Arabidopsis thaliana: one gene and its partner. The protein of the gene in region 1 interacts with the protein of each later gene in a pairwise test. Each region holds a gene or a part of one and is shown on either strand. Other genes may lie near its edges. The genes, in order: ABC4 and AT4G33905.

What was found.
Region 2: the proteins of ABC4 (region 1) and AT4G33905 interact in a two-hybrid assay, tested with the Arabidopsis thaliana proteins (one large-scale study listed by BioGRID).

What each region holds. Positions count from the first base shown.
Region 1 is NC_003070.9:22,320,160-22,336,584, forward strand, and holds ABC4 (UbiA prenyltransferase family protein), read right to left. Parts: upstream 7,201-16,425; 5' UTR 6,780-7,200; intron 6,611-6,779; 5' UTR 6,601-6,610; coding exon 6,511-6,600; intron 6,432-6,510; coding exon 6,207-6,431; intron 6,126-6,206; coding exon 6,022-6,125; intron 5,929-6,021; coding exon 5,857-5,928; intron 5,769-5,856; coding exon 5,630-5,768; intron 5,554-5,629; coding exon 5,447-5,553; intron 5,361-5,446; coding exon 5,261-5,360; intron 5,187-5,260; coding exon 5,148-5,186; intron 5,063-5,147; coding exon 4,952-5,062; intron 4,874-4,951; coding exon 4,808-4,873; intron 4,744-4,807; coding exon 4,648-4,743; 3' UTR 4,278-4,647; downstream 1-4,277. Other genes in the region: AT1G60610 (SBP (S-ribonuclease binding protein) family protein), read right to left, coding at 7,840-8,385, 8,462-8,829, 8,919-9,027; RPAC43 (RNA polymerase I subunit 43), read left to right, coding at 11,066-11,224, 11,530-11,715, 11,794-11,923, 12,019-12,099, 12,193-12,380, 12,475-12,570, 12,673-12,766, 12,894-13,013 and 1 more; RALFL6 (RALF-like 6), read left to right, coding at 13,757-14,002; AT1G60630 (Leucine-rich repeat protein kinase family protein), read right to left, coding at 14,595-15,244, 15,318-16,425. UniProt on the Arabidopsis thaliana protein: Involved in the synthesis of phylloquinone (vitamin K1). Catalyzes the transfer of a prenyl chain to 2-carboxy-1,4-naphthoquinone.
Region 2 is NC_003075.7:16,248,129-16,263,346, reverse strand, and holds AT4G33905 (Peroxisomal membrane 22 kDa (Mpv17/PMP22) family protein), read left to right. Parts: upstream 1-7,586; 5' UTR 7,587-7,754; coding exon 7,755-8,096; intron 8,097-8,422; coding exon 8,423-8,651; intron 8,652-8,916; coding exon 8,917-9,041; intron 9,042-9,192; coding exon 9,193-9,282; 3' UTR 9,283-9,595; downstream 9,596-15,218. Other genes in the region: SSN2 (zinc finger SWIM domain protein), read right to left, coding at 1-55; AT4G33920 (Protein phosphatase 2C family protein), read right to left, coding at 644-913, 1,004-1,240, 1,580-1,956, 2,213-2,471; AT4G33910 (2-oxoglutarate (2OG) and Fe(II)-dependent oxygenase superfamily protein), read left to right, coding at 4,733-4,846, 4,947-5,069, 5,300-5,457, 5,540-5,642, 5,778-5,873, 5,943-6,008, 6,095-6,214, 6,318-6,404; AT4G33900 (Galactose oxidase/kelch repeat superfamily protein), read left to right, coding at 10,636-11,775; AT4G33890 (transcriptional regulator of RNA polII, SAGA, subunit), read right to left, coding at 12,262-13,290; AT4G33885 (uncharacterized protein), read right to left, coding at 14,442-14,483, 14,629-14,691.

The DNA of each region.
Region 1 (16,425 bases):
GAAAATTACCATCAACACACACATAATCAAAAAATATTTGGTTGATATTTGACAAAAAGAGAGTATAAATCAAATAATATATCTATTATATATGCAAAAGAGATAAAAAAAAAAATTTAGCTATTTATACCCGTATACTTATTAAAGAAAAAGGTTGGCTTAGTAGTTTGTTCTATATTTAATTTGTGAGAATCTGTATTATAATTTTGTAGTTAATTAGCTCTTCAAAATATAAGATCATATATCCAGAAGTTGATAATTATATGATAAAGATTATGACTGGCGAATCATGATATGGAAAGAGATGAAAGTAATTTCTCACATCTCTATTATACAGAATAATGTTTTCAAAAAATTATACTTTTATTTGTGGGACTAGAAAATTTCCTCCCTTGCATTCCAACCAAATAGAAAAGTAATTTATGATTCAATGTTGCAAATTGTAAAAGAAATTCTATTATACTGATAACATTTTAGAGTATACATTCTATAATAAATTTAGATGTAACCATAAATTTAAATAAATGTATGGAAGCACATTAAATATGATACAGAAACGTTTCTGGTGACAAAAGACGACACAAACGCTATTGATAGAAACGATCACCAGTTATATCATATGATTAAACACTATACTAATAATTAAGAAGAATATAAAAAATTGAACTTTAGTCCATGTGTGTGAATATGAGTGAGGGGAGAGATCCCATGGGCATTATGACAAATTTGTGTGTGTCTGTATATGTACACAAATCAAGATGCTTTCATAACTTTCTAATGTTCTTGTCATAAAATGTTCCTTTCTCATTAAATTCATAAAATGTCACTGTTCATTGCTACACGAGACGTATTAGTAATTAAGTATAAGAAACAATAACCCTTTTCATTTCATTTATTCTTGAAGGATCTTGAAGAATCGGGAGTTTTTGTCATAAAACCATTTACTATCCCTGTTTTTTTCTTCAATAATACCACCACAATCTGCATATGTTTGATAAATTTATTGGTTAGCTATATTTTTAATAAATATATAGGTTAGTTTTGTCGTGCAACCATTTAGTACGTAGCACTGGCTTTTCTTGAAACAGAGAAGTATTTCCACCACCACAATGCATATGTTCAAAATTCAATGAAATTCCAAGTAGATTGTTTTTAGCTAGATGTAGATATGAGACACGGATTTTACTGTGAGCTATATTTAATTAGTGATGATCGTTTCTATCAATAGCGTTTGTGTTTTCTTTCATAGCTAGATTATATTGATTGGTTATCTTCATTTTTTGTGTGGAATTAATTGAATTTTCGTTCCACACTCCTAATTGGTGGTTTCATTGAAAGTTGATAAAAAAGATAATAATTGGATAATATATAAAGGAATACAATATTATTACAAGCCCTCCTTTGACTTCAGAGCTCGACTCTTTGTGGTATTGGGCAATCTTCTTGATCATGTGAAAAATATATGTGGACCGTACCTCTTTCTTGATACGCCAAAAGAAGTAATCTGTTATATATGCCAATATGTGTTACCTGTCTTCGAGGTTTTCATATAAATTCCAACATTTATAGTAATATATTCTATCTATGCGTATATGATAAACTACACGTAACTGCATGTGTGCACATTTGTTGATATACACGGTGTATACTTTATTATCGTTTATACCAAAAAGAAAAAAAAAAAACAATCATCACTTCACCGTTTATTGTTTTGCTCTAAATTAATTAATAGTTTTCTATGTATTTTTTAACAGAATCTTTATTTCACAACTTTCAAAAAGATGTATAGTTTGTGATAAAAATAATGTATTATAACTTAATTTATAACAGTTTTTTGTTTAGGTATTATAATAGTTTGGATATTAAAATTTACAAACTTAATTAATAGTTGGAGTCTTTTTATTTATTTATTATCATTCATTTTAAAACATCAAATTATAAAGTAATAAAACTATAACTTTAACAACAAAAAAAAGTAATAAAACTATACGAATACGAGACATAGAAACGATAATCTGCAGATTTTTTTCTTTTTCATGTGGCTATTATTTTTCTGACTTTCTGGGAGACTTTATTTAATTGTCTTTTGTTTTCTCGTATGGTTTTACAAAATTAAGTACACTGCGTTCTTATATTTCTATATGCCGTCTTTTAACTAAGACATTCTCGTGATTATTTATTTATTTGTTGTGTTTCGTTTTTATTCTAACTTTCCCGTGAGACGTGAAGTGAAGTCCATTGTCTATTCGTTGGTTGGAGAATGACCATGCGTCCATGCCCTTAATTTGTTCCATCTTCACTTTCTGTATAATCAGTTTATTTTGGTTTGATAAATGTCCTGATCCAGCCAAATCATTGATGTCCAATTCCTGGTAAAAGATCTAATAAGTTCAACATTGGAGCATGATTAAGACTAATATTTAAAAATAACTGTGTCATACAATATATATATGAAGGATGTATTAATATATGTGCATGTACATTTCTTTGATACATGTAATTGATTAGGTTAATCATATACATCCAATTTGACGGAGATAAAAAATCATAAAACATGCCATCCCATTATAGTATAGGCACCCATAAATTATACTAGCTATTTTATTGATTTTATATTTGATTGTATATATGATTTCAACTATATTAATATTACTTCTTATATCTGATATCAAAGATATATTCTCATATTTATTTCAGTCATACTAGCAATATTCCACTATATCCTTAAACCAACAAGGTTAGTGGTGCTACACAAAAAATTTTGAGGATACATTTTTCAATACAATGTTATTTTTATAGGATCTTGAAAGTCCTTTGCCGAAGACGCCGAAAAGAGATTAGTGAGCTACCAAATAGATATGGTTTATATCACTCTGAACCAAAAACAAAAAATCGCATTAGAGGAAAATATATGAACAGAAACAATTTGAAAATTTACAAAAATAGTTTATTTTTGAAGGCTGGTAATTTATTGCTAGTCTAAATTTTTATATTGAAAACTATGGAAGTATGTTTTACCTACTGTGACGGTAGGTAGGAAAAACGAATGGTGGTAAGCTTTGAAATGTGTCAGCAATGATAGATTGGGTTTGCTGGTTGCTAGATGTAGCAAAAAATTGGTGAGTCGGCGCAGTAGAACAATCCTGTACAAATATAGTTTAAAAATTGAAACAAGTATATATAGACTATATAGAGGAACACCTTTTGTATGAATAATTTGCTTAGAAGGCTGATAAGTTAAAACTATTCAAAAATAATCTACCTTGCTTGTATAGAAAACTATAGAACTTTACTTTACCTATTGTAATTGGTTATAAATCGTGTCACATGAACTAAATGTTATCAATAACTTCATATCAGTCTCCAATGAGTCAAAGTTAATAACATCATTGTTGATATGCTTCGAATCTTACCATAATTCACTTTTCCTCATATACATGTAAAACATAATTACTTAGTCTTCTATACAAGAAGTTTATATTAGTTTTGAATTACCAACCTTCAAAAGCAAACTATTGAACAATTGTCTCTATTCATTTATTCTCCTCTAATGACACTTTTTGATTTCTTGTAGATTGATCCTCCTTTAAGAGGTTAATTTTTGTTACCAAATTTTGTATTGACCAATATGTCTTTTGCGATTTTGTGTTAGACTTGTACAAATTGACAATTTTGATACTTTTGGTTTTTTGAACGATTTTGATATTCTTTGTATATTCTTTAGTTTTTTAATGTTTAGTTAGAATAATTAGAAGATGACACATATATATATATATAAAACAACAATATATACATTTCGTTAAGATTTTTAATGTTTTATATTAGTACTATATAAGTAATATTGAGATCCAAGTAATATATAATAATTTGTTGAGAAAATTAATAAAATGTAAAAAGCTTAAGAAAAATTACTAGCTTGTGGATTCTTTAGAGGATGTGAAAAGATTAGAATGAACTAGGCTTCTCGGCCATGAAGGTAATTCATAAAGCAACAACAGATCACGAGGAATCAAATTGCAATCAACAATGTCCACAATCTTCAACTTGGTCAATACCGTCAACTCATTACCATCAAAGTTATTAGAGCACACATAAAGCCTAATATATTATCATTTGAGCAGCCCATCTAAACCCGCTAATGATTTTGCTATAAAACCTAATAACATAGGCTGAATAGGCTTCTCAAATGATAATATTTTGGGGTTTTATGTGTTCTCTAATATAAATCTGGATCTCACCTTCTAATGATTTTCTTAAATGCACATGGGATCCAACTTCAGTGGTTTGGGATGGATTCAAGAATTGGAGAAAGGTCCATATCGAGAAACAATTATGTCCTACAAACACAAGCATAACCTCTTTGTTGGGCCATCTTGTGTGTTGGAAATCTGAATTACCTAACACAAACGCCGTCAACGGGCTTGCACTAAATCCGACATGGCCCATGTTTCAACATATCCATGGTGGCACCCGTCACTTTAACAATTGAGGATACAATCGCTCACCATGCTTGTGATTAATTTGAGACCTTTCACAACTGTTGTAAGTTCGAATGTTTCCTTTTAGCTACAGCATACTGTAGTGGCTAAACGTTTAGGTAGATACAACGAAGGCTAAAGAGAGAAACAAATGTTTGGTGACTGATTTCTAGCGCGCGATAACTAGCCCCAACGACAATGCGGCTCCAAGCAAGGCGTGGAGTCTCACACAGTAATACTTGGCCATGAATATCTTCCCATTATCCTGCATTAAAAGAATAGATTAGCAAAACTTTGAGTATTACAAATTTCAATTCTAAATATCTTACCTTGTGGTGCTTTTCAACGTAGCTTGAAACCAAATTCCCAACTGGTAATGTCAGGAAGCACATCAACTGAAACACCAACAACAAAAAGGAGGTTTTAATATATGTTCTTATATTTCAGTCATGTTCTCAAATCTGTTAACTTACGGTGCAAGGTAGTGGCAAAATCCTGGTTAAACCAAGAACAAGAAGCATTGAATATAGTAAACGAATAGTCCATCTCACAACAAAAGCTCCTTTTTCAGTCCCTAACCGAACCTGTGTCAACCAAAAAAAAACTCTAATCATAAACACAATCACCATATTCATATTAAACCTTGTTGAGTTTTTTTCACATTTGTACCAGAGGTGAATATTTCCCCACAGCTAAATCTCCATCCACCTATAGAATGTAAATGTAGTCAGTACTGTGTTTGTCATTTCAGGACTCATTAGACCACTTTTTCATTAACCAACCTGATGAAAGTGGCTGCAGAAAAGGATAAGAGATGTAGTAAAACCAACAAGGACAGATGATGAAAGGACCCTACCGCTTAGCGGAAGATGCCTCATCTCGCTGCCAAAACCGATTAACAAGCTTCCATTATTAACACCTCATGGAAACACGAATGGATTAGGCTTAAAACAAAATTTTGATATTACCTTGAGCTACCAAGAAGTAGATAAAAAGCAGTAGTAGCAAATGGACCAAATGCTGCAAAGCATAGAGGCTCTCCTAATCCTTGGTAACTTAACCGAAATGGCGGACACTAGTCACAAAGTATTACTCTAAGTTAGAAATCTCCTAGATTAGTATCAAATTGTCATCTAGGAAGTAACGTTCACCTGGTATACGTAGCCACAGAGTATTGCTGAGGCTAGCAATAGTATTGCACGGATATTACTTGCATTTAACGATGTCCAAACTAGACCAGAAACACCAAGCGCTAGCGATGTGATTGCAGCGGCTAAGGTTCCTGTCCGGCTTTTCCAAGTAAAACACAGTTTATTAGGATGGAACTCAAAAACATAAACTTCAAAGTTGCAAACTCTATCCTTTGATAATACTTTACCTTCCAACCAGATTTACTACTGATTCCATTTTGTTCTTATCAGCTCCGGTATCAAAATCATAAACATCATTGCTGCAAACATAAAACCATGTTTGGAAAGAGTAAATACATGAAAGAGTAAATACAGTCAACGAAAATGTTAAAAGGAATCAATCAATTAATCACCTTAGGTTGAGCCAAGTAATGATAAGAATTGATGAGAGCAATAGAGTAACATAACGTCTAGCTAAGAACAAACCCGTCTCTAAATAGGCCGCTGAAGCGCCAACCTGTGTGACATTTGAACAGTGAATATTCCCTAGCAGATAAAGGCAATGGAGGACATAGAAAGGTTTCTTGAGGAAACATACGGTAAGAGGAACTAAAGCGACAGAGTACATTGGTAGTTTGATTGCTCTCCATATCAATTTTGCTCTGGGAATCTCCTCTTCTTGGTAAACCTTTGCTGCATCTCCATAACTCTTACAAAAGATTGGCCTAACTCTAAGGTTTCTTCTTGGTTTAGCATTCAGATTCTCTCGTGCATTCGAACCAAACACCGGTAATCTAGTGATTACATCTCCTCTGCTGGGAAGCTAAGCTAAGTAATTTTAGTGACAGTACAAAGTAGATTATTGTCAAAGAACAAAGCTTTGGATGAAGTGCTAAGCCTACCTTGTGAATTTTCCGTTTCACAAACAAATCAGTTGAATTTTTGGGCACAAACCCATACTTTATGTCACAGAGAGAAACAAAATTCACCATTTTCAGGTTTCTGCATAAAACAAAAGAAAGAATTTCAGTTAACAGAGGAAGAACACTACTTCCGAGTTAAAGTCCGAGATTCTGGAACCCTATAACTAAAATCTTTGTTCTGGCATGAATCAGAGACAATGGAAAATGAGTAAGATGAAGTAAAAAAAGTATGAAGTTTGGAACTTTACCTTTTTTAACACGAATCTTTCGAAGAGAGTTAGCGACGGAAGTGGAGTCAGATCAAAACCACGACGTGATCATAACAAAATTCACTTGAGGAAAAATATTTCAACTTGGCTCGTCTACAACGAGATTTTCATGAACCCACGAATCTGGAATCTTAATTTGGAGAAGATAACGCACACAGAAGTACAGAACAAACTCATTGAACCTTATACAAAAACTGAGAGAAAAGTGCCCGAATTATGCCAATAAACAGGCAAAATTGAGTGACCAGAATCAGAATCAGAGGATTTGTGAAGGAATCTATGCAATGCAAATGTTGGGATTTCGTTATTCAGACAAGAATTTGAATGTTGGGTTTTGCGGAAGAGACGTGAATGATGAAGTGGATAACAGAAGCTCCCTCGTTGGAAGATAAAATCACGTGAGGTTCACGTGTCTTTGACCAATTTTAAATACAAGTAGAAAGGTGGGCCTTTAAGGCCCATTACTTTCGAGCCTTTGAGGGTTTGGTTGGTACAAACTACTACAAGTAAACTAGATTTGCATGATTTACAAATTAAACAATGTTGACATAATTTATAATTAAACCAAATTAATATTAATGCCAAAAATTAATATTCAGATGGGGAAATTAACTGCGTCTTTTTTATTTTTGCAAACGTAATATGATGTATATTAATATCAACTTTATTAGTATTTTTCTAACGGAAATATTGATCAAAATCCTTTACATTAAAAAAATATTGTTTTAGTACATAAATAACCTTACTTGGGAAACAAGTTTTGCAGCAAAAATATTAAGAAGAAAAAAATCAGCCAAAACAAGTTTAATAATTTCTTCTAACAATGTAATCCACAGCTTGACATATCGCACACGACACGGAACTCAATTATTATCTCGTGTTCAAAGAACGGCTGCTTAATAACTACGAAATAGCAGAATCATGCTATATAGGTTTAATGGCAAAAGCAAAGAAAGACTCGACCAAGTTTTCATTCATCACCACCATCACATACAAATATGTTCATCCACCATTTACTTTTCAAGAGTATGAAGACAACTCAGAAGAAGAAGACCTGAACGCTAGAAGTTTTCAAAGACTGGCAAACAGGACAAACACCAGTAAACACATCACAATCTTTACACAAACTCAAGTGCCTACATGGCACGAGCAAGACCGAAACATTCTTTACGTTACACAACTTACATCTCATCCCAGTACTTGGCATCCCCGGGATGTTCAAGTAATTGTAAGAAGCTGCTTCGTCATCAATCTCACTATCCCCAAACCCTTCTTTCATTTGATGATGATCAGCAACTCCTCCTCCTACTGCATTGTTGTCGTTTCCATGTGACATCACTTGTTGCAAATTTACCTTTAAGGCATTAACCACAGATTCATTGTATTTTGCTTTGTAATGCCAGTTCTGAGCTTCCACTGCCACTTGTTTTATCTTATCCACGAGTTCCCGGTTCTTCTTGTTCATGCTTTCAATCTCATGGTCTTTCTCTTGAAGCTTCTTACTCACATCCTTCTCTAAGGCCGTGACAAAGGACGTGACATGTCTCTGTTTAATATCTCTCACACCTTTCGCCATTTGATCTGCCTGTTCCAAGAGAGAACAATTTCAACGACATGGGATATGTAAGCAAAAACATACGCTTTGTAGATAAAATTAATACCCGGAATTTGATAAACTGATCAAGCTCGTCGTTCTGTCTATTGAGGTCCAATCTGATATTGTCACCGAGTGACTGATAGACTGGAGTTGTTATGCTTCCATTTGCTGAAGTTACAGAAGAGTTGCGCTCATCATCATCATAAGATAGTCTCAGACCAGTTGACACTAAGTTCTGCTTTGGGACTTCATCTTGAACAACAGTATTATTGTTGTTGTAGTTATAATTCAAAGAGATCTGCAGCTTCTGCTGTCTCTGCATAATATTGTTGTTTTCAGTTTCCCTTCCGCGTGTGCTATTAAGCCGCATCATAGGAGCAAGGTTATCATTAGCAAAGTAGTTTACAGGATCAATAGTACAACCAGCTCTCACTGCAACCACATACAAAGGAACAAGCTTTTAGCTCTATAAAGTTCTAACAACATTCAAACCAAATGAATAACAAAATTCAGAAACTTACTCGTCCCAAGCAAGTGAAGCTGATTCAACGATGTGTTTGATTGATACCGAAACTGGCTGTCGTTCATTAGAACCTGCGGCACAGGGTTATCATTGTTGCCTCCCAACATCTTCTCTAGAGCTTAACCGTTTTATGTGTATATATATACCCGTAAAGAACTGAAACAGAAAAATTACAGTAAGAAACCTGTAGACATACGAAACTAATTAGTTGTAAGATATGAAAGCTCAAATATCTTCAGCTTTTGACATGACGAGCCAAGATGTAATAAGATTTAACTGTCCTAAGCAATACAGATTACAATCCAACTAGAGACAAAGTTGAGATCTTTGAGGAAACTATGGTTCATGATCAACTCCTATGTGATGAACTTTCTTTGATCTTGCCTAGGAACCAAATTTAGAGATCATGGTCAAAGATTCATCTGAATATTAAACCAAGTAACAAAAAACAGGCAAAATAAATTATTATGTCAAAAGTGATAAAATAAGGCAAACCTCTGGAACATGGAAGAAAGATAGCAACTCCAAAGAACAAGACATAACCTAAAGATCTTGTAAGAGAGAAGCTAAGAGAAGATTTGTACCTGTTAGAGATTGCCCATAAAAAAAAATAAACCGTAGCTTCCTTCAGATCCTACAAACCTAAAAGAAATCATTATCACAGGCTCACAGCGATCCAAGTTTGCTTATTTGCATCAATTAAAGTTTAAAAAACAAAAAAAACTGTAAAATTAAGAAGTCGAAGAGAAGCTAAATCAATCAATGAATGATTCAGAATCTTAAGAAGAAGAAGATGGGTTTTGATGATAGAAACGCTTTGAAACAATAAAATCCAATAATTTAATTCAAAGATTTTAAATTTAAGGAGAAAGAAGAATAAAAGAAACGGATGGGAAAAAAGAAAGAATGAAATGAATGATGGAAAGGTGAGAAATCAGCAGAGGACAGGACACAGTTGTGAAGGAGTGGGAGGAGTTGGGTGGCAAAGTCGAGATATTAAAAACAAAACAAAAACTTGAAAAATAGACTCGAAAATAATACTAACATTTTTTTTTTGGGAGATGATGATAACAAGAATAGTAATAGTAACCGGTGGCGGTGGTATTGGTTCTGCTGATTTCCCCGTGAGTTGTGCCTTCTCTCTGGTGTGACGCCATTTTACTCTACTTTTCTCCATTTTCCCTCTGTCCTTTTTCTCCTTTTCTATTTTTTTCTTCCTGACCAGTTCAATTCTTCTTCTTCTTTTTTTAAATAAAGAAGAGTTCAAACTTTTAAAATGGGCAACACTAATTTGTTTGCTAATTTACGATAGGGACCCAATGTATGGTCGTCCGGTTTAGTCTTTTTGTTTTTTATTAGACTAAACTAAATTTGAAATCACATGTGGTTTGTTATTTATCTACTTTCGTGTTTGAGTTGATTGGAACTAGTTTTGGTTTTAGTTTTGTTTAGTTTCTTGGCTCATTCTTCTGGTTATCTTGGTATGCTATAATAAAAAAAATACTGGAGTGAGAACCTTCACCATTATGGGTTTGAACTGCCATAACTAAATTTGGAGAATATGATTATTCAGATCGGGTTTGTTTAGAAATCGACATTTCTACTTATATTTGGAAAAGTTATATAGTAGAAAATCAAACAAAATGTCGAATGTTATATTTCTCGTTTCATGATTTTCTATATATCTCATTTGTTTAATTATAAGACAGATTGTTTAGTTCGTTCTTTTCGTTTACTGTTTTCTCAAATTTGTTTTGTAGATTTTTTTTCCATATTCGGCGACCAATCATATAATTATCTTTTAACTAATATGTGGTTAATTAAAAAATAAAAAAATGTCGATTTGGTTCGGACTTAAGATTAGAATTTCGGTTTGGTGGTAACGAAAATTTTAAAAGTCAGAAATCAACCAAACTCCGGTTGGACGGTTCAGCCGCTTCGGTTCGGACTTAAGCCATGCCGCTATTAGAAAAATGGATGTTTTTTTTTCTAGTATTCACACGTGTCCATAAACCCTAATTTTCCAGTTTTATGAAATTGAAGAACGAAATTGAAGTGAAAAGTGAAATCGTGCAATTTTCATCTTCCTCTTCTCCTTAAACCCTGATTTCGGATTCTCACAATCGAACTTGGCTGCAGAGAAGGATGGGGACTAACGAAGTAACAAGGATTGTGACTGATGAAGAAAAGAGAGAAGCGAAGAACTTCAACATATTTGATCTCCCTGACGTTCCTACCGGACTTCCTCCGCATCTTGAGCTCCAGCGAACTCGCGTTGTCTGTAAGAAGGATTCTAATATTCATGTAAGTACTATTCTCGATCAAAATTTACACTCTTTTTAAGCTATGTATAAGTTCAGCTAACTAGAAATTTATTGGCTTTTCTCAGTGTGTCCCATGTGGGTTTGCTATGTTCATCGATTTCGTGTAGATTTACAGAGTAAAGTTTAAAACTTGCTTGTAGAAAGCTGTGAATTTACTGAGTTTGGTCTTAGCAATTTAAGAAGATTACACTGTGGGTTTGTCGAAATCCGAATGATATTGAGTGATGATTGTTTGAAATTTGAAGTCTTTAATGTTCTTCCCTTTCTTTTTGTGTTTTATTGTAGCCTACGGCTATCACTTTCTCGGGTGCCTATTCCTCTATGGGAGTGGACAACAGTGTGAGACTAGAAAACTTCTCTGAGGATTTCAAAGTTGATGTGATTAGTCTCACAGAGACAGATATGGTATTCGATATGATCGGTGTCCATGCAGGAATCGCTAATGCTTTCCGAAGAATCCTCTTAGCTGAGGTCTGCCCACTGTCTCACTACCTCTGATGAATCTCTGATTATTAGAATCTTTGGTTAATAGTGTTTCTTTGATTACAGCTTCCTTCAATGGCTATTGAAAAAGTGTATGTAGCAAACAACACATCGGTTATTCAAGACGAAGTTCTTGCTCACAGGTTGGGTCTTATTCCAATTGCCGCAGATCCGAGACTCTTTGAATATTTATCTGGTAAGAAATATTCTGTGGAATGTGATCCATCTCATTAAGCATATAAACTCTTTGTGTCACGCTTAGTTTTGTTGTTGTTTATCTTTGTGTCATAGAAAACGATCAGCCAAATGAAAAGAACACCATTGTTTTCAAACTCCATGTGAAATGTCTAAAAGGTGACCCGCGTCGTAAAGGTAATATATGTTCTTTGGTTTGCTCAAGAAGAGTCTTTGTTTTATTGTTAGCTCGAGATCTCATGAGAGGTATCATTTTTTTATTTCTTGAAGTCTTAACAAGCGAATTGAAATGGTTACCAAATGGAAGTGAGCTTATCAAAGAATCTGGAGGTTCAACCACAACGCCAAAAACTTACACTTCATTCAACCATAGCCAAGATTCCTTCCCTGAATTTGCTGAAAATCCTATCAGGCCAACCTTAAAAGATATCTTGATAGCAAAACTTGGCCCTGGCCAGGTACTGTTTCTATTTATACTCTTCCCCTTAATTGTGACATTTTTGAGGACTTAATTCCGTTGAGAGATGAAAGACTTGCATCTTCTTCTTGCAGGAAATCGAGCTTGAGGCTCATGCCGTTAAGGGCATTGGTAAAACACATGCAAAGTGGTCCCCAGTAGCAACGGCTTGGTATCGAATGCTTCCTGAGGTGAGAAGTTCACCATAAGCCTTCTGGGAAAAGGACTTAATTAATTTCTTCTTGACTCGTCCTAGGCTTTTCCGGTAATGCTTTTTGTTTATAATATCTTAGGTGGTTCTACTAAAGGAATTCGAGGGTAAACATGCCGAAGAACTCGTAAAAGTCTGCCCCAAGAAAGTTTTTGACATTGAAGACATGGGCCAAGGTGAAGTAAAAGCCTTCCCAAGTTTCCTTCAAATGTCTTTACTTGCTTTTGAGTAACAATAAGAGATTCTGATGAAACCTGAGAACTTTGGCGGCAAATTAATTTGACTTGCAAACGTGGAAAACAGGTAGGAAGAGGGCAACAGTAGCTCGGCCGCGTGATTGTTCGTTGTGTAGAGAATGCATAAGAGATGGAGTGGAATGGGAGGACCAAGTGGATCTGCGCCGTGTCAAGAACCATTTTATATGTAAGAAAAGAAAAAGAAAAACACAGTTCCTTCAACCTGGCAATTCCATGGTACTGAAAGAGATTCTAATTGAGTTTCTTATCATCTTTCGCAGTTACAATTGAGTCCACGGGATCACAGCCTCCGGAGGTTCTTTTCAACGAAGCAGTGAAGATATTGGAAGATAAATGTGAAAGAGTAATCTCTGAACTCTCCTGAAAAGAGATTAAATTGGTTTAGCTCTACCGGCTTGGTTCCGGTTTAGTTCAGTTTTGGGTTTTGTATCGAAGTTAATACAAAGAACATTGAAATTTATATATACTTGGTTTCGGCTCGGTTCAAATTTAGAATATACATGTGAACGTTGAAGAGTAGATGGATGTACGTACGTACACATTCATCAAGCACTGAACAGAGTGAAGAAACAACAGAACAGATCAATTTTTACAACAACGAAACAAACAAACACTAACGACAACACAGATATTCACGAAAGTCTTGTTGTGGCCGATAAATTTGCTGCCATGCTAGAAACCAACCGAACATATTAACCGAAAAAACTGTAAATGACATATAAATAGCCACGAAACTCTATCAGCACATACATTATGCACTGGCCGTCTTTTTTTTAGAATCATCCTTCTCATTATAAATCAAAGAAACACAAATTAATAATTAATCACGTATTCAAACTACAAAAATATAATAACACAGAAAAATATCAAGAAGTTTCAATTACATTGTTTTTGTTTTCTCAAAAAACAATGGCTGCACACAAAAAGAGTCATATCCGCATTTTCTTTGTTTCAGTAATGATTATATTATCATTGTTCAGCGGATTTGGAGAAGGACAAACATATATAAACTATAATGGTATGAAAGGAGACATAATTCCAGGTTGCAGCAGTAAGAATCCCAAAGAATGTGTCAAAATTCCAGCATACTCTTACAATCGTGGTTGTGAAATCTCTACACGTTGTCAACGTCAACAGCATTCGAGTTCGAGTTAATTGATGTATGATATGTTTAAATCATTTTCGAATATGAAGTTTTTTATTATTAAAGTGATATTACTAACTCAAATTTTAATTATGGTAAGGTTCTTTCCATTTTTCTTTGTAACCTGGATTTATTTATTATATGTTTTAATAATTGATTTCTTTACCCCTACGATTAAAGCCCAAGTTAAGTGTATCTTTCCCCCAAATAGTTTAATTGGAAGCCCTAATTTAGGAAGGAAATTTCTGCTTTTGCTTTAGACGCAAGGAGCTGTTTAGGGTTTTGGTGGGGAAACAAGATTTGTCCAGATGTTAAGAGGAAATAATGTGCATATGAACTAGGTCATAACTTATACGATCATTTTAGAGACAGTGCTAGTGAAATATGAGCTCATAGTGAATGTCGCGGTCTAAGGAAAATATATTTGTAACTGTGAAAGAGGGCATGTAAGCCTCTCCTTATTTAAAGAGACTCAGTTTTGTTAAGCAACCCATTGTGATCATGTAATTATGGGTATTATCCAATTTAGGAAGCATATATTATATTTTGAACCCCTAGCTACTTCAAAAACCAAAACAATAGAGAAAGCTACAACAACTTGAATCAGATGCTCATATGATCCTCCCTTGGCAAGCTCTGAATCGTATCCGACCATCTCCCAGGCGAATGATCACTGCTGTTAAATGAGAAAAGAGCTGCTTCAGCCCTTGCATCTTTCACCATCTTCAATACCTCTCTCATCGCAGGACGGTTTTCCGGCTTAACAGCCACGCAAGCTGTCGCGATGGTCAAAAGAGCTTGAAGTTTCTCCTCAGAAGCATTCAGCTCCTCACTTACTTCAGTCTCTTCCTCTCTCACCGCACGCACCCATGTGGAGATATCAGACCCGTATTTATGAACAAGGTCCTTGAATGAAGTTCTACCTGTTAGAAGCTCTAGAAGGAGGACTCCAAAGCTATAAACATCAGCTGGTTGTGTTGAAGCCTTGCGTAAGTCTCTGCATTCAGGAGCTTTGTAAAAGAGAGAAGCTGCACTTGTGTCTTCAATCGAGTAAGGATCATGGAGATCGCTGAGACCGTAGTCCGTGAGACAGGACTCGAAGTCCGGACCTAACAAAACATTAGATGATTTCAAGTTCCCATGCGTTAAGCCAGGATTCTGATGAATGTAGACCAGACCCATTGCCAAGTCCTCTGCTATTTTCAAACATGATGTCCAGTGAAGAGGCTTCCCACTCCCAGAGACCTTACTTCCTACGAATAAGACACATATCAAACAGATTAACACAAGTGCTGAATCAGAGAAGAGTGTGTGTGCAATACATACCATGGATAAGAGAGAAGAGACTTCCATTGGGGAAGTAATCGTAGACGAGCAAGCATTCTTCTTTGGCTTGGAAATAAGCTCTGAGTGGCACCAGATTAGGGTGCTTGAGTCTGCCAAGGATCTCAATATGTCTCTTGAATTCATCCATTCGAGGAAACCCTGCGTCCTTGAGCCTCTTAACAGTGATGATGAATCCAGACTCCATCACTGCCTTGTAAGTGCTCCCTAACGTTCCTCTTCCCAACGTTTCTGCTGAAGCTTTGAGTAGATCATCCATGGTGTATCTCACCACCGTGATGTCTCTTCCCAAGAAAACCAGAGTCCCTACTGATCCTTCTTCGCTTTCTTTCTCCCAAGAGAACCTTTTGTTTTTCTGGTCACTCGTACCTTCCTCTGTTTCAGCCGTCTTTGCTTCTTTTGACTCTGCCACGCGTTTGCTTCTCCTCTCTTCTCTTTTGGATTTGCTTCGCTTCCGTCTCCAAAGAAGACATATGAGAAGAAATGTCAGCAGAAGTATCAATATTCCGCCACAAATGCTTCCGGAAATGATTCCGATGAGCTTCGTTCTGCTACGTGTTTTGGCTACAGGGATAGCTGGTTTTGCTGATGGAGTTGAAGTGATTCCAGTGGTGTCATTGCATGAGTTTTGAATCTGATCACCGCAGAGAGCAATGTTGTCAGTAAACGACGACTCATTGAACCGATTCAGAGCTTGTGTTGGTGGGATATGACCAGAGAGTTGATTATTCGAGACATTAAAGAATCTGAGAGTTGCTTGGTTGAGAGGAGGAATGGAACCAGAGAAGAGATTGTCTTGAACGTAAAACGTGTAAAGGCGGGAGAGTCGGAGCAACGAGCTAGGAATCTTGCCGGAAAACCGATTCCTGGAAAGAACAACCGTTTTCAATCGGTGTAGAGACGTCAGTGATTCAGGGAACTCACCGGAGAAGTTATTATCGTTGAGATAAAGAGATTTGAGGTTGACTAAACCAGATAGGTTAGGGATTGAGCCAGAGAGAGAGTTTCCTTTGAAACTAAGAACTCTAAGTTGATCCAATTGGTTCAAACTCTTGCCGTTGAGTGAGCCACTGAGGTTCAAATTCTCAAG
Region 2 (15,218 bases), on another chromosome or scaffold:
CGGTTGATTCAATGTTCGACCAAACGGCGTCTGCGACCAAAAGAGTGACGTTCATCGTTTTGCTTTTTCTTCCGTCGAAACTTTTCTGAGAAAGTTCTTCTGGAATTGTTGAATTTTTGAGTTTGAATTGCTCTGCCCAATTTCATATTCTCAAAAACCGCTCGTGTTCAATTCGGTTTAGATATTTGACAAATTTCAATTTCGGTTTGATTTGGATCTGAAGTTTCGAATGTCTGTCATGCATATTTTCCAAAATTTAGGCAACATCTGGAATTTTGTTGGCTTATTTTGGTTTGTGATCGATAATGTTTTTATTTAGTTATTATAGACAAATAATTCAATATACTAATCTCTCCATACAAGGTCATAAAAAAAAACAATCTGATATATGAAGAGTTGTCCTCAACGGTTTCACACTAGATTTTCATACAAAAGTATTGTTTGTGTCAAAAGCAAAACTGCTTTGCCCAAAAACTAAAGGGTTTCGACCTTCTTTGCTGGTAAAAGAATATACAAATCCAACTCCAATATTGAAAAAAAAAAAAAACCAGTTCTTCGTAGAAAAACAAATAAACAAATATGTAAACAAGTTTTCTCCCTATTCGGATCTTTCCCAAGCAGCCATTTTACCATAATCAAACAGTCAGTATAACACATTGAGTAACCGTCGTTGCTCTGCTTCATCAGAGTGTAATGAGTAGATATCCGGTGGAGCGGTGATACCTCCTTGCTTCACCAATTTACTATTCGATGAACTGGTTTTGTTTTGATCTAGATAAACTACAATAACGCTTATGTCGTCATGGAAATGTCGTCGAATTCCTTTGGCTATTTTCTTTATATCTCCATATCTCATTTCTCTCTTCTTTGCCGCTTCTTCCAGAGCAGCTCTTACAAGTCTTCGGGCAATACCCTGTAGAACACAGAGTTAATAAATAAATAAACTAAGTAGCTAACATAAATGTGAAGATACAAAGCAAACTTGAGTTTAGGGAAAACTTACAGTTCTTGGGTGTTTGAGGACGATTTCTACGGCTGTTTCATCACTAAGATGTTCCCAGAGACCATCTGATGCAAATATCAGAAACAAGTCCTGTGGCTTAAGCTTCCTTACTATAATGGAGGGTTCGGCTGTCATCGCGGGTCTCCTCAAAGGAATGGGATTTCCATGTCGCTGGAAAATCGGGTCCCTGTAATACTCCGGTTTTTTCAAGTATACATCCCCAATTGATCTCGATACCTATAAAGAAGCGTATATGAAAACGATTTAGCTAACTAATATACAACGAGCTCAAACATTCACGGAAAGGTCACAAGCAACTAAAAAGCATGTATCTTCATTATTATGTATAGCTCTGACTACCGGGAATTCTTAGAAAAGCACAAAATCCACTGGGGAAGAAACGTTGCAGGAGCCCGTGTGACGGATTCCTGGAACATTGCAAGCCCCCATTTATATAAATGAAAAGAGAAAAGAAAAAACAACATCAGATTACACCTTTTAAATATTATAACTTCATCACAGATGCTATGTAATCACACGCAATTTAACAAGCAGGCAAGCAAAACTAAGTTATACCTGAATAATGCCTTTAATCCGCCAAACTCCACGTGTGTATAAGACGATTTGTGAGTCATCAGGGTTAAGTGCCTTAACCTCCTTTCTCACTTCTTCAACAGCAACATTATGATCAGTAGATAACCGTTCAGCTACGGCACCTTTATTACTATCAACCCCTGAAACAACGCTTCCAAGAACGGCTCTCGAGTCCCCAAGATTAGCAACATACAGTGTGTCATTAGAGATTGCACCAACAAGACAGCAAGATCCTACAGTAGCCATTTGCGGTTTCATGGGAAGGGATCGTTTAACCATACCACAAAACTCTTCTTCTGTTTCTTTGAATGCCTTTTTGATAACATCTACAGATAATCCCCCATGTTCTCTTGCAAATTCTGCAATCATAAAACCAATCCTGTAAATTTCACTAACAAGAACATGACTACAAAATCAATTCAAGAGGCAATTTACAAACCTGAACATGTTCACAAAGACCAAAACTTCATAGCAAAATTCGAATCTTTTAATATTGAAATGATCAGGGTAATAGAGATCTCATAAGTTTTGACCATCAAAAACGTAGTCAAAGAGTCAAAAGAAGAAAGAATCCTAAAACAAGTTTAGGGAAGGAAGAGTGGGATTATAACTTACTGTGCATATAAGGAAAGAGATGTCTGTTAACGAATCTAGAAGCTTCAGGTCCACCATGACCATCGTATACACCGACGTAAGTAGCAGAAGAAGATGTGAAAACCTGACTCTGATCTTCAAGCCTGGAATTGGCTTGAACCACCGCGATCGAATAATCACCGCCAGCGTGAGGTCTCAATTCCGATTGCCAGAGTAAACCATCACCACTAGCTCTGCTTCCCAAACACCGTTCGAGAGGCCGTGCTAAAGCTCGCAACATCACAACCTACTTAGGGTTTTTCTATACAGAGAGATTCTGAGTGCAGTAGAGTTAGAGAGAAAGAGATAACAAGATTTTCGATTCGATTGGATGAGAGAAATCGAAAGGTTTTTTTTTATTGAATTTTGATTCGTTCGTTTTTGTTTGATCTGATCGGTTTTAAGGGATTCGTGTGTGTGTTGAGTTGGTGGTGGTAAAAGAAAACCGCGTGAGGAAGAAGAAGAAGAATATTGATAGAGATGACTTGTACTTGTGCCGTTTCTTAGAAGGCTACGTAGACTACGCGTCGTTTTGTTTTAATTTCGCCCTCCCCCTTCTCTTTTTTTTTGCAGTTTTTTTCAACGCGTTGTTTATTTTTGTTATTCTTCTCCATTTAGCTTTATTTTTCTCAATAAATAGACAAAGTTTTGGCCCAAACATAAACGTCATTGCCGTATATTATACTAAAATATCTTTCTTCTGGAACAATTCAAAAACTTAAATTCTGATTCGGTCCAACAAAAAAATATCTAAATTCAACAGCTACTTTTATTTCTTTTTGAAATAGGAGATATTATATTAATGTAGTGTATAATATATATATTTATTTATATGTGATTTACAGAGTCAATGTTTGAATATTATTTAGAAATAGTAGACCCTTTTGAAATATAAATTCATGTCTACGATGAGTAAAGAATCAATTAAATTGTTCATGTCTACAAAAATGTTTACATCGTCTGCAAATAGCAATAAATTAATTCTATTTTGTGTCTTATATATTTTGTATTTGAATATATCAGTGGGAAATTGTTATAATGAGCGAATAATGAATGGGTAAGGATGAGTAACCTGTAGCCAACGTGTAGCTGATATATTTGCTTGTCAACTAAGAAAGACGGATAACAACTGAATACAATTTCTTGCTAATAATCTAGTCATCTTAGTATCTATATTATTATTAACCTAATTTTATTATCACGTTACCGTTTCCGGTATAAGAAAAAAAACATGTTCTGGTCAAAACAAATCTTTGTGTGCTGTGTTCTAGAGCATACTATTAAAACGATGAATATTATTGCTTATGGAGTAATTTATATTTAATTACAAGTGGCACATTTTTATTTGGTTGTTATAAAAAGGTTTGCATTTTGGGATTAAGAAATTGACGTGGAAGGACTTATATATATACGCGGAAGCAACTGGAAATTCATTGGCCCAAGTTGTCGAACTTTTTTGATCATGATGTTTACCTTTACATTTATAACATTATGGATGCGTATTTATCGTTGTTATGGATCATAGGGTGATTTTCAACATATATAGATCCATTCATTTTATTTTTTTTAACATTTGCATATCCACTCATATTATACCGATGCATACAAGATTCATCAAACAAAAAAAAACTTAATTAGTACTACTATTATTTCTGTCAATGCTCACTAAGAATCTCTCTAGTATCACATCTCTCTTCAGTGAACAATGCTCTGTGAACCCCAAGAACCAAACATTAAATGAGTCACCTTCTTTCTTAAACAACAGTTCTATAGCCCACAAAGAGAGCTCCTTGAACCTTCTTCTCGACACAAAGGCTACTTGAATCTTCTTCTTGCTTATTCTTTTCTAAACTCAAATCTCTATATGAAAATCATTTGTAGAATGGTTACACATTTTATTTGGTTATCAAAAAGAAGTTGCAAGAATATAGACTATTAGTTAAGAAAATAAACTCATTTGAAATTTCGTTGGATAATGTATTGATCTCGGCTTAAGACTCTCTAATTTGACTGTATATAATTAATAAATAATCATTCTTTACTTTTTAACCATAAACACAATTCAATGTTGGACTACATATCCACCTTACATTCTAAGATCGATTCCAAGTCATTATCGACAGCCTGAATGAAGCAAAACAACTCAAAAGAAGCCCACCTAATTCAAATCACAAAAACGTTCAAGTTCCATCGAACCAAAACTTAAACCACTCTACGCAACCAAACTTCAACCAAAAAAAAGGATAAATTCGGCGCATTTTTTTGTATTTGTTGACCAGTGAAGAAAATGACAAACTGGTCAACGAGATCTGATCATTAAACTATAAAACAATATATTTTAAAGTAAATAGAAATTTGTGGTGCTTCATTGGATCGACGAAAGGCGTCCCGATATTGAGGTTCGTTACGCCGGCGAAGATTTTCATCGGAAACTTATCTGATCGTTTACGCCGGCGAAGATTTCCATCGGAAACTTAATCTGATCGGAAGGAAGAAGGCTCGATGAAGAGCAGATTGAAGAGCTACAGGAGGAAGAAGCTAGGGTTAGCCACAGTTATCGTCTTCTGTTCTCTCTGTTTCCTCTTCGGTTTCTATGGCTCCACTCTACTTTCTCAGGTGTGGAAACTCTCTGATCTTTTACTCTGTACTCTTTAGATGTGATTGGAGTCTTTAGCTTGGTTTTGTGACTAATCGAGGGTTCTATGTTTGGGATCAGAATGTGCCTCGTGTTAAACCCAGGTTGAGAATGTTGGATATGGTTGAGAATGGGGAAGAAGAAGCTAGCTCGATGCCTCATGGTGTTACTGGAGAAGAATCTATTGGATCGATTCCTTTTCAGGTCTGATTTTGTTGCTAATTTTTTGACTTTTAAGATGTTTGGATTGGCAAATTAGGTGAAATCGATTAGTTAGGGCAAGATTGTGCATTTGATTATCTAATTGAACTTTGTTTTTTTGTTCATGTGTGGTGACCATGAGTGTGAGTGAGAGTATTGTGTTTTTTAGCAATTAGTCAACTAGTGAAATTTAGTACTTCATCTTTATGGATTATTTGGTTTAAAATTGGCAGGTACTTAGTTGGAGACCTAGGGCTATATATTTTCCGAATTTTGCAACTGCAGAACAATGCCAAGCTATTATTGAGAGAGCAAAGGTTAATCTGAAACCTTCTGCTTTGGCTCTCCGGAAAGGAGAAACTGCTGAGAACACTAAGGGCACTAGAACAAGGTCTTTCTTTCTTTCTAGTTTCATGTTTCGAACATTCATCAGTAGCCTCAGTGTTTTTGCCTGGTGTGTTGTTGTTATACAGCTCAGGAACTTTTATCAGTGCTTCAGAAGAGAGTACTGGTGCTCTGGATTTTGTTGAAAGGAAAATCGCAAGAGCTACGATGATCCCAAGGTCCCATGGAGAGGTATGATTCTCTACTTCCCAAATCTATGTGAATCGTAAAACTAAGGCATGTTGAAAGTGGCAAACGTAGGCTTGATGGCCTTTGGTTTAGTGCTTATCACCCCTTTAATTGTACGAGATTTGATGTTTTTGGCAGTCATTCAATATTTTACGGTATGAACTTGGCCAAAAGTATGATTCCCACTATGATGTTTTCAACCCAACAGAATATGGACCACAATCAAGCCAAAGGGTAAAATCCTTAAATCTGTCATATTTATAGCTTTCTTTAGAACCCGAGACCTCATTTGAATTTACGCAGATTGCCTCCTTCCTGTTGTACTTATCTGATGTTGAAGAAGGCGGTGAAACCATGTTCCCATTTGAGGTCAGTTTATAATATATTATTTGCTTACTTATTATACAGACCCTTTCGTTAGTTTTGATTCCATTTAAACGCTTTCTATTTAACAGAACGGTTCTAATATGGGCATCGGATACGATTACAAGCAATGTATTGGGTTGAAAGTAAAGCCTCGGAAAGGAGATGGTCTTCTTTTTTATTCCGTGTTTCCAAATGGAACGATTGATCAGGTAAACAAAGTTTGAACACATTTCATTTCTTCTCTTGACTCCTATTCCTTGGATTAGTTCATGCTAATAGGAGCTCTTTGCTGTGGTTCCAATGCTTCTGCAGACTTCGCTTCACGGGAGCTGCCCGGTGACCAAAGGAGAGAAATGGGTGGCAACCAAATGGATCAGAGACCAAGACCAGGAAGAATAAGTTAGGTTTTTTTCCATATATCTATCTCAGTCTCACAGCTTCTATCTTTTGACTAAAAATCTGCTGCTGGATCCCTCGTGTACAGTTCTTCGCTGAAACAGTGTAACTATTTAGCTTTCTTATAATGCGAATGATACAAAAATTAAAACCTGATAATGAAAACTTGGTTCGAAATATCATTTGAACAATAGAAGTTTCTTGTTGTTTGATATTTCAGTAAAAGAAATATAAGAACTTATAAGATTAACACAGAAGTGATGACAAGTGTGGATCGATTTGGGTGTTCTGATTACTTGGTATTGAGTATTTACTGCTCGTTTGAGTCCGTCAAGTCTCTTGTTAATTTGCAATGTGTACTAATTTTTTCCCTTATAACTTAACAAAATGTGTTGTATGATTGTATTTGTATCTATTAAATGGAAAATTATTTTGTCCATGTTATATATATAAAAAATGTATCTGAGCTTACACACCAGGGACCATCTTTTTATTCGAGTTTTTGTGGACACATGAGTCATGAGTGATACCGATAATAATTTTTGTTTTTTTTTGTGTGTGTGACATCATCTACGTTTAGTTTGGTTTAGAATCTTCGAAAAATTGCCGACAGAAAATAAGAGAATCTTCTCTTCCAATGATCTACGTTCTTTTTGACTAAATATATAAAAATAAAAGAGTTCATAAAAAGTGGCTAAAAGTCGGAACTTGGGACACGAACGCAACACGTGGCTTCTACTAAAGGTTAGCGTCACTGAATTAAGTTTTACGTGTCAGAAGTGATGACGTCGACACTAACCAATGTGAACAGGACGTGTAAACAACCCTAGAACACTACAGAACAGAAACAGTTTGGGGATGTTTGGTTTTTGAACCGTCCACCTTTGACGGTCACGCGCTCTTCAGCCTTCAGGCACTCTTTCCTCCGCCTAACATAGAAATTGGAAAGGTTATTTTCTCCAATAATTTGGCTTGGCTTTTGAGTTTATTGAGTGATTAGCTAATAATAAATAATAATCAATTTGTTGGCTTATATATAATCAATGTGCTAAGTAACACTATAGCTTTCACAAAAACTTCGGTTATTAGGAAAGATCTCGACAATTCTGTATCTAGAAAAGGCATGATTAATTAATTTATTAAGAACAAAACTAATTTATGAAGAACGATTGCAATGGTACGAGACGCGAGTAGAAAAACCTTTATACTCGCGAAATATACAAATTGTGTGTTTCATTATTTATTGGCATTTAAACTTTTTAAAAAAACAGAGCTCTGTTTCTTCTTCTCCACCGCCGTTATATATAAAACCCTTCCCTGAACCCCCAAAACTCTCGGAGCCATCACACGACAATGACCGGCGCATTGTTTAGAAACGCTGCTTCCGACGCCGCTCGGATCTTTCGATTACAGCGAGCAACGATGACGAATCCTTTTGGAAAGCTCGACCCTTTACCGATAGGAGGAAACATCCAGCGATTGCAGTCGAGGCCTTTTTATCGTACGCCTCAGTTTCTCGGGAAAGCAAAGGAAACAGGTGTCTCTGGTTTCTGTTCGTCTTCGTCTTCGTCTTCTTCGACGGTCTCTACAGCAGGATTCATCGGATGGTATTTGGGAATGGTGAAATCTCGGCCGGTTCTTACCAAATCCGTCACGTCCTCGCTTATTTACATAGCAGCCGATTTGTCTTCGCAGGTAATTTCAAAAATCTATCTCATTTTTGTTTTGTAAGCCTACAAATCAGATTTTAGATATTCTGTGATTATGTTCTTGTTGATTCAGTCCTAAGATTCCATTGTGTTTTCTAACAAATGGTAATAGTAGAAGTCACTGTATCTCCATTGTGCTTTAGAGATTTGAGATAGGACAAGAATTACTTCTAGATTAAGAAGTAATGATCGATTCTTAGTAATGTGGATGTAGTAGCGGGTTTTATGTGAATTGAGTTGTTATATTTGCTTACGTTTCTTTGTTCTTGTATTGTTGTTGACAAAAGTGTGACTTGTTTGATCTTTCAACAGACAATTCCACAAGCTTCAGTGGATTCTTATGACTTGGTAAGAACAGCAAGGATGGGAGGATATGGGTTATTAATCTTGGGTCCTACACTTCACTATTGGTTCAATCTCATGTCAAGTCTCTTCCCAAAACGAGATTTGATCACAACGTTTAAGAAAATGGCCATGGGACAGACAGTCTATGGGCCTGCCATGAATGTTGTTTTCTTCTCACTGAATGCAGCCCTACAGGGTAAGCTTTCAGCTGTACATGAAAAATAATCAACTGGTTCCTTTCTTATAGTCTATATATTCTTCTTTGAGCAACATATAAAAGTATGATTTTTCTGAAACTCTAGATCCTGTTGACCTTCAATCTTAAGGGTTGTTATAGAGCAGGTTGTTTGATGTTACATTCTTTCTCTAAATGGCGTTTGAAGAGAGGAGAATTGTTGTTAGAATTTGATCCTAAGCTATTCTTGATGACATCAAAGTCTGATTTTCAATTATTTTTTCAGGTGAAAATGGTTCAGAGATAGTTGCTAGATTGAAAAGGGACCTACTTCCCACAATGCTTAATGGTGTCATGTATTGGCCTTTGTGTGATTTTATTACTTTCAAGTTCTGCCCTGTTTATTTACAGGTATGTATGATTGATACCTACCACTTTATTTCCAACTTAGCTTCACTTTGGTTAACCTTTTGTTCAAGACAGATCATATATTTGCTGCATTCATTTTGTCTTATCGTGAGTTTTGGTTATCAACTGAAGTCTGGTTTCTTTTTGTCTGCAGCCACTTGTGAGCAACTCGTTTTCGTATCTATGGACAATCTACATAACTTATATGGCAAGCCGTGCGACGCCAACCGCCATTGAAATTTGAAAAAGCTCTCTGGGAAACTCTCTCAGTTTAGAAATGAAGAAATGAAGCCAAAAAACACTTTTACTAAAAGAAACAGGGCATTCTTCAACATTCTTTGTTTCCTCTCTCCAGATTTTAGGAGGATATAATGTAAGGAGTTTTGGGGAAAACTGTGCATTTGGACATGTCTTACACTCTTAGATTTAATTCAATTCTATGTTTAGTATTCCATGTAATATTTGAGTAAAATGGTGGTTCTTTAGCTTCGATCAACTTTTTGAGTCTTTACCAGGCAAAGGAAACTGTTGACACAAGTCTTTTATATTAATCCTTAGTTACATCAGTACGGTTAACAAAGACGGAAAATTTACACGAGACCAACGGAGTCAAACCAAATGCTATGTATGCTAAAATATGGTTTTTGTTCTCAATCTTATACGCGTCCCAGATTGGTAGGGTAGCAGGTAGCAGTGCGACAGCTTGTAACAAAAAAAATTGATATGCCAAATGTATTGTTTTCTCATAACAGTAAGTAAAATTTTAGAAATTTAGGGTCCTTTCTTGTACGTAGGTCCGCATATATATCTGTACCAGAAGAAAGAGCACACAAAGAACAAAACAAAACAATTTAGTAAAAAGGAATGATAAAAAAAAAAAGTAAATTCTTCTAGTTCTTTTTTTGAATATCAGTAAATTCTTCAAGTGAAGAGAATATACGTTTTGTTATAGAAAATTAGAAACTTACTATACTTCCAAACACGTTGAAAAACTCCCAATGAGATTAGGAATCTATATATAAACAATATAGACAAGAATAGTCGAGACAAAAAGAAGCTTATGCAAAAAACAATTTCTTACTTTTTTTTGTTTTGTTAAAAAAAGCAAGTTCTTACTTAATAAGCAACTGATGCAGCGCATCTTTGCTTTGTTCACGCCTTTGATGGGCCTCGTCGTGACCAAGCCTCTTTATTGTTTCTCATTCATGATTTAGTAGTTTATGGACTTTATTAAAGATGTGGGCTTTACGTGTTTGGCTTTTAACTTCTTTTTAGAATTAGGGTCTTTGTTTCTGATTCTTATTTAAAGAATCCTTACGTTGTAGAATAGATTAGTTTTGGATTATTGAATAAAGAGTTTTAAGAGAGCTTTCTATAAAGCCTAGAGAGGAGGACTCTCAACCCTAAGGGCTTGCAAAACCAAGTCGATATCACTACCGATCTCGACTTTATCTCTATTGCTTCTTCATCAAGTTTTGACGTTCTAAGCAAGATCCGTTTGTAAATCCGAGTTCTCCTAGAGATCTTGTGTTCTCGTCCGATATTTAGCTTCCGCTCTCTATCAACAACCGTAAGAGAAAAAAAGTGATCAACAACCATGGAATATGGAGAAGAACCCTCGATTAAAAGATTTCTAATGCTTCCTGATGATTTGGTATTTAACTGCTTAGCTCGCGTCTCAAGATTACATTATCCAACTCTCTCATTAGTCTCCAAAAAATTTCGCTTTCTTCTTGCTTCAAAGGAGCTTTACCAAACCCGAATCCTCTTAGGCGGAACGGAGAGTTGTCTTTACGTGTGCGTACGACTCCATACCGATTCTGAACAACTACATTGGTTCATTATCTACCAGGGACCAAATAGCTCCAAAAAAGTTTTGGTCCCGATTTCATCTCCCAATTTTACTTCCGCAGCCCTGCCGGGTTTTGTAGTGGTCGGTCATGAGATATATGCCATTGGCGGTGGATCAGAGAATAAAAACGCTTCGATAAATGCAACTGGATCAAAGACTTATAACGCTTTGTCTAGCGTTATGGTTATGGACTCTCGTTCTCACACATGGCGTGAAGCTCCAAGCATGCGGGTGGCCCGTGTGTTTCCATCTGCTTGTACCCTCGATGGGAGAATATATGTTACGGGAGGCTGCGAAAATCTCAATTCAATGAATTGGATGGAGATTTTTGATACGAAGACTCAAACTTGGGAGTTTTTACAGATCCCTAGCGAGGAGGTATGCAAAGGCTCTGAGTACTTAAGCATAAGTTATCAAAGAACCGTCTATGTAGGGTCTAGGGAAAAAGATGTCACTTACAAGATGCATAAAGGTAAATGGAGAGGGGCAGACATATGCCTGAATCATGGATGGAGTCTGGATCCATCATCTTGTTGTGTGATAGAGAACGTGTTCTACCGTTGCAGTCTTGGGGATGTACGTTGGTATGACCTCAAGAAAAGAGAATGGGCAGCTTTGAAGGGTTTGGAAGGACTGCCTACTTTTACTAATTATTATAGAAATTTTAAATCGGCGGATCATTGTGGAAAATTGGCGATTTCTTGGGAGGAGTATGTGTTAGTTGATGACGAAACAAAGATTTGGTGTGCGGAAATTGCGATTCAAAAACGCCAAAATGGAGAAATTTGGGGAACGCTTGAGTGGTTTGACAATGTGTTTATATCCAGTGGACCAAACCGTCATGTGGATTTATTAGTGAATGCTCTTACTGCAACAGTTTGGTGAATTGAATCAATCACCCATGCATTTTTTTAAATAAGTTGATCGTTTGTCTTCGAGGCATTTGGACATGTCTCATAGTATGATTATGTCTTGCGCTTTTTGTTTTAAGCTTTTTACTTCAGTTTGGGTTTTAACATTCCAATGTAATATTTAGTGACTTTGACCAGACAAATGAAATATTCACACGAATCTTTTCAAGAAGCCTTTTTTGCTTTCATTATTAACTTTGTTTACATCAGAGAGCAAACAAGGAAAAATACACATGAGAGAAAAACAAATCAGCTAAACAAAATGTCGTTTACTTCAAAAAAAACTCTTACTTAAATCTCACTCTATTATCTGAACTTGTACAACATCAAGAAGACCCACCCTTCTTCTCTTCAAAACCTTCTTCCATTGAAACTTGGACCATCCCAGTAACTTTTTTCAACAGCGCAAACCAAACCAGAAAACTCAAATGCTATGTATCTAACCTATGATGTTTGTTCTTTACTTATCTGAAGCACGGGAGCAGATCTTCTCCATATGCATAGGCCAATCTTCTCCAAGTATCTCAGTATTCAACTCCATACCAGCACGAAAATCTGACATCGATACATATGAAAGCCTTCTGCTTTGCTGTGTATACTGGTAATTCATCTCTCTAACCCGATCAGTCCCACATCGAGTATTAGCCAAACTCAAACAAGGCTCAATCAGCCTTCTCATAAACACATCCAATCCGCTATTAAGAAGACTAACAGAGTCCATAGTTATCTTTAGCCCCTCCATCTCCAATCTCCTCTCCAACCGACTCCTCAGCGTTCTTGTATCAGGTAGCTCACCGTTGTTCTGACAAGTCTCGCGGTTGAAACTTCTGCTACACATAGACACATTGGAAACAGACTTTCTAGTAGCTCCATTCCTAAGACTCATAGAAACACCAAGCGGAGCAGTGAGAGGACACCGGCTCTGAACACTTGGACTTCCTCCTGCTATTTGTTCAACTTCTTCTCCTTCCTCCACAGACACAACTTCCACGGGAGGTCTACTTCCTAGAGACAACAATTCAGTAGCACTTTGTGCCTTTGACATTGACTCCTCATTCGTCGTAGTTAAACTATGAGGCTTCCCAAGTGGACCAAGTGGACTTGGCCTGTCTCTCAACTTCCTTGACCTGCATTTACGAGTCGAAGGAGAAAACGCAGAATCTCCATGAAGCGGCTGAATTTGACTGTTCTTCTTCGAATCCCCATTACCAAATCTAACAAAGCTCCCACCTTTCTTTATAAATGGTGGAGATTTGGCAATACAAGCATTCTTGATGATGGAACGTATAAGACGGTTATGAAGATGGATGTTTTGTCTACCAATGGTCTTGATGCACAACTTGTCGAATTCAGATTTGGTGATCTTCAAGGCAAAGAATCTTCCGAGCTGATTGAAGTAACTCTCAGCTCTTTGATTCCCAATTTCCCGGTAAATGAGAGCTTTAATCTCTAACGTATCTAACCTGGAAGAACCTTGATTTGATCCCATCTTCTACAACTAAGTTGAACTAAAACCACATCTAGAAAGTTTCGATTTTTAAGATCCCAGATTCTCTCTTCTGAGCCAAAAACCTAAAAACCCCAAATTCTCAACACATACCTGAAAAATCAGATTCCGATAATCAAAATTGGGACGATTTCGAAATTGCAATCAATTATAAACTAGGAATAGAGAAATCGAAGAAGAAATTGAAAGAGATCGAAGCGTCACAGGTAATTTCGTGAGATTGAGAATCGAAAGAGGGAAGAAGAAGATGGATCATTAGAGAAGAAACATACCCAGTGAAAAAGGCTTCCCCTTTGTGCCCTAAAGGCAAAAGGGACGATGATCTTGTTTGTTTCTTCGTTTCATATCGCTTCTCTTCTGTTTTTTGGTTCTCCGTGTTTCCACGAGAAAGTCTTCGTCGTACGTGAGAGAAACTAAGAAGTAAAAGAACATGTTGGACTTTGGACAAACTCACACGTGCGTAAACTTAAGTGAAGTGTTTTCTGATTTCTCAATAACTTTGCTGGTTCAAACTAAACTTTTGTATTCGTTGGATAATTTTGCTTCATTGATCTCTCTTTTAATTTGTTTGTCACTTGTCTTGTTAAGTGGATAAATCGTTAAGTACATCGTTAACTGTGAACAGCTATACTTATATCTTTGTTTGATTCACATTGCCACTAGTGTCATCTATAATAAACCACCATTCCAAAGTACTTGGTCCCTTAGTGGAAGGATTTAACAGTTGTTATATGGTTCTTAAGCAACTATCAACAGAGTAATAGATAATAGCAACACAAATCTCAAATAGTAGAAACTCAAATCTATATGATAATCATTTGTAGAGAACCAAGATTGAGTTTAAAACAAAAAGCTAAAAGATTCAACAGCTCAAAAGCCTTATCGAAATAAATCCATTACAATTTTAAAGCTTGAAAGTTTCACATGATTGCTCCTCATAACACCATTGGTCTTTAACGGTACTGCAAACAAAGGAAAACAAAACCAGAAGAGTTAATCATCTTTCCAAGAGAGTGAGAAAACATCATGGACCATTCTCATGGAGATACAAAAGACAATCATTCAACATGTTTACCTTAATGAATCCGATTTCCTTGGCGTTGCTACGGAAGCACTGTCTACAGCAATTAAGACTATACTTCCTGATTAATCCATGGGAGTTTCCACACACACGGCTACAAAAATCCATGGATTTCAAACTTACCATTAGATTCCTCAAAATCATCACAAACCATGAGTCCATGACTATAAAAAACATGCTCCTACTTATTCTATATGGCAGATCACAATAAGTAACAGAGGTTATTGCATGCACATTACCAGGTGCAAGATCCAGGTCCGTATTTTTTTAGGATGAGAATTCCAGACGTTGGAGTGACCCATGATTTTCGATTTCTCAGAGCTCGAAGCTAGAAGACGAGGACCAACAGCGAACACTCGAAATAAAATTGAAAACCCCAATTTTCGTATGCGACGGCCCTCATAGTTGGTTTATATAGGTCCGAGCGGAACAAAACGAAACGCATTTTCATTACATGGTGGGCCGAATATTACAGGCCCACTTTAAATGGACATAAAGAAGATTTAAGACTTCTTTTTTTTTTCCGCAAGAAGATTTCAGTCAGATGAATATTACAGGCCCATTTTATATGGATTAAAGTAGCGGAAACTTTAAGTTTAACTGAATAATTTTTCTCAAATAACCTATAAATCTGAAAAGTTGATTTTAGTACATTAATGACGTTGATTTTTTTTTCTTAAAAAAAAATCTAATACATCTAAAATTTCTAGCAAACTCAAAATTTAAAAATGTTACAACACGAAAATGCTCTGAATAGTGATATGAAACTAGGAATAATCACAATATTCGCTTTTTATTTTAATATTTAGAAAATACAAACAAACAATAT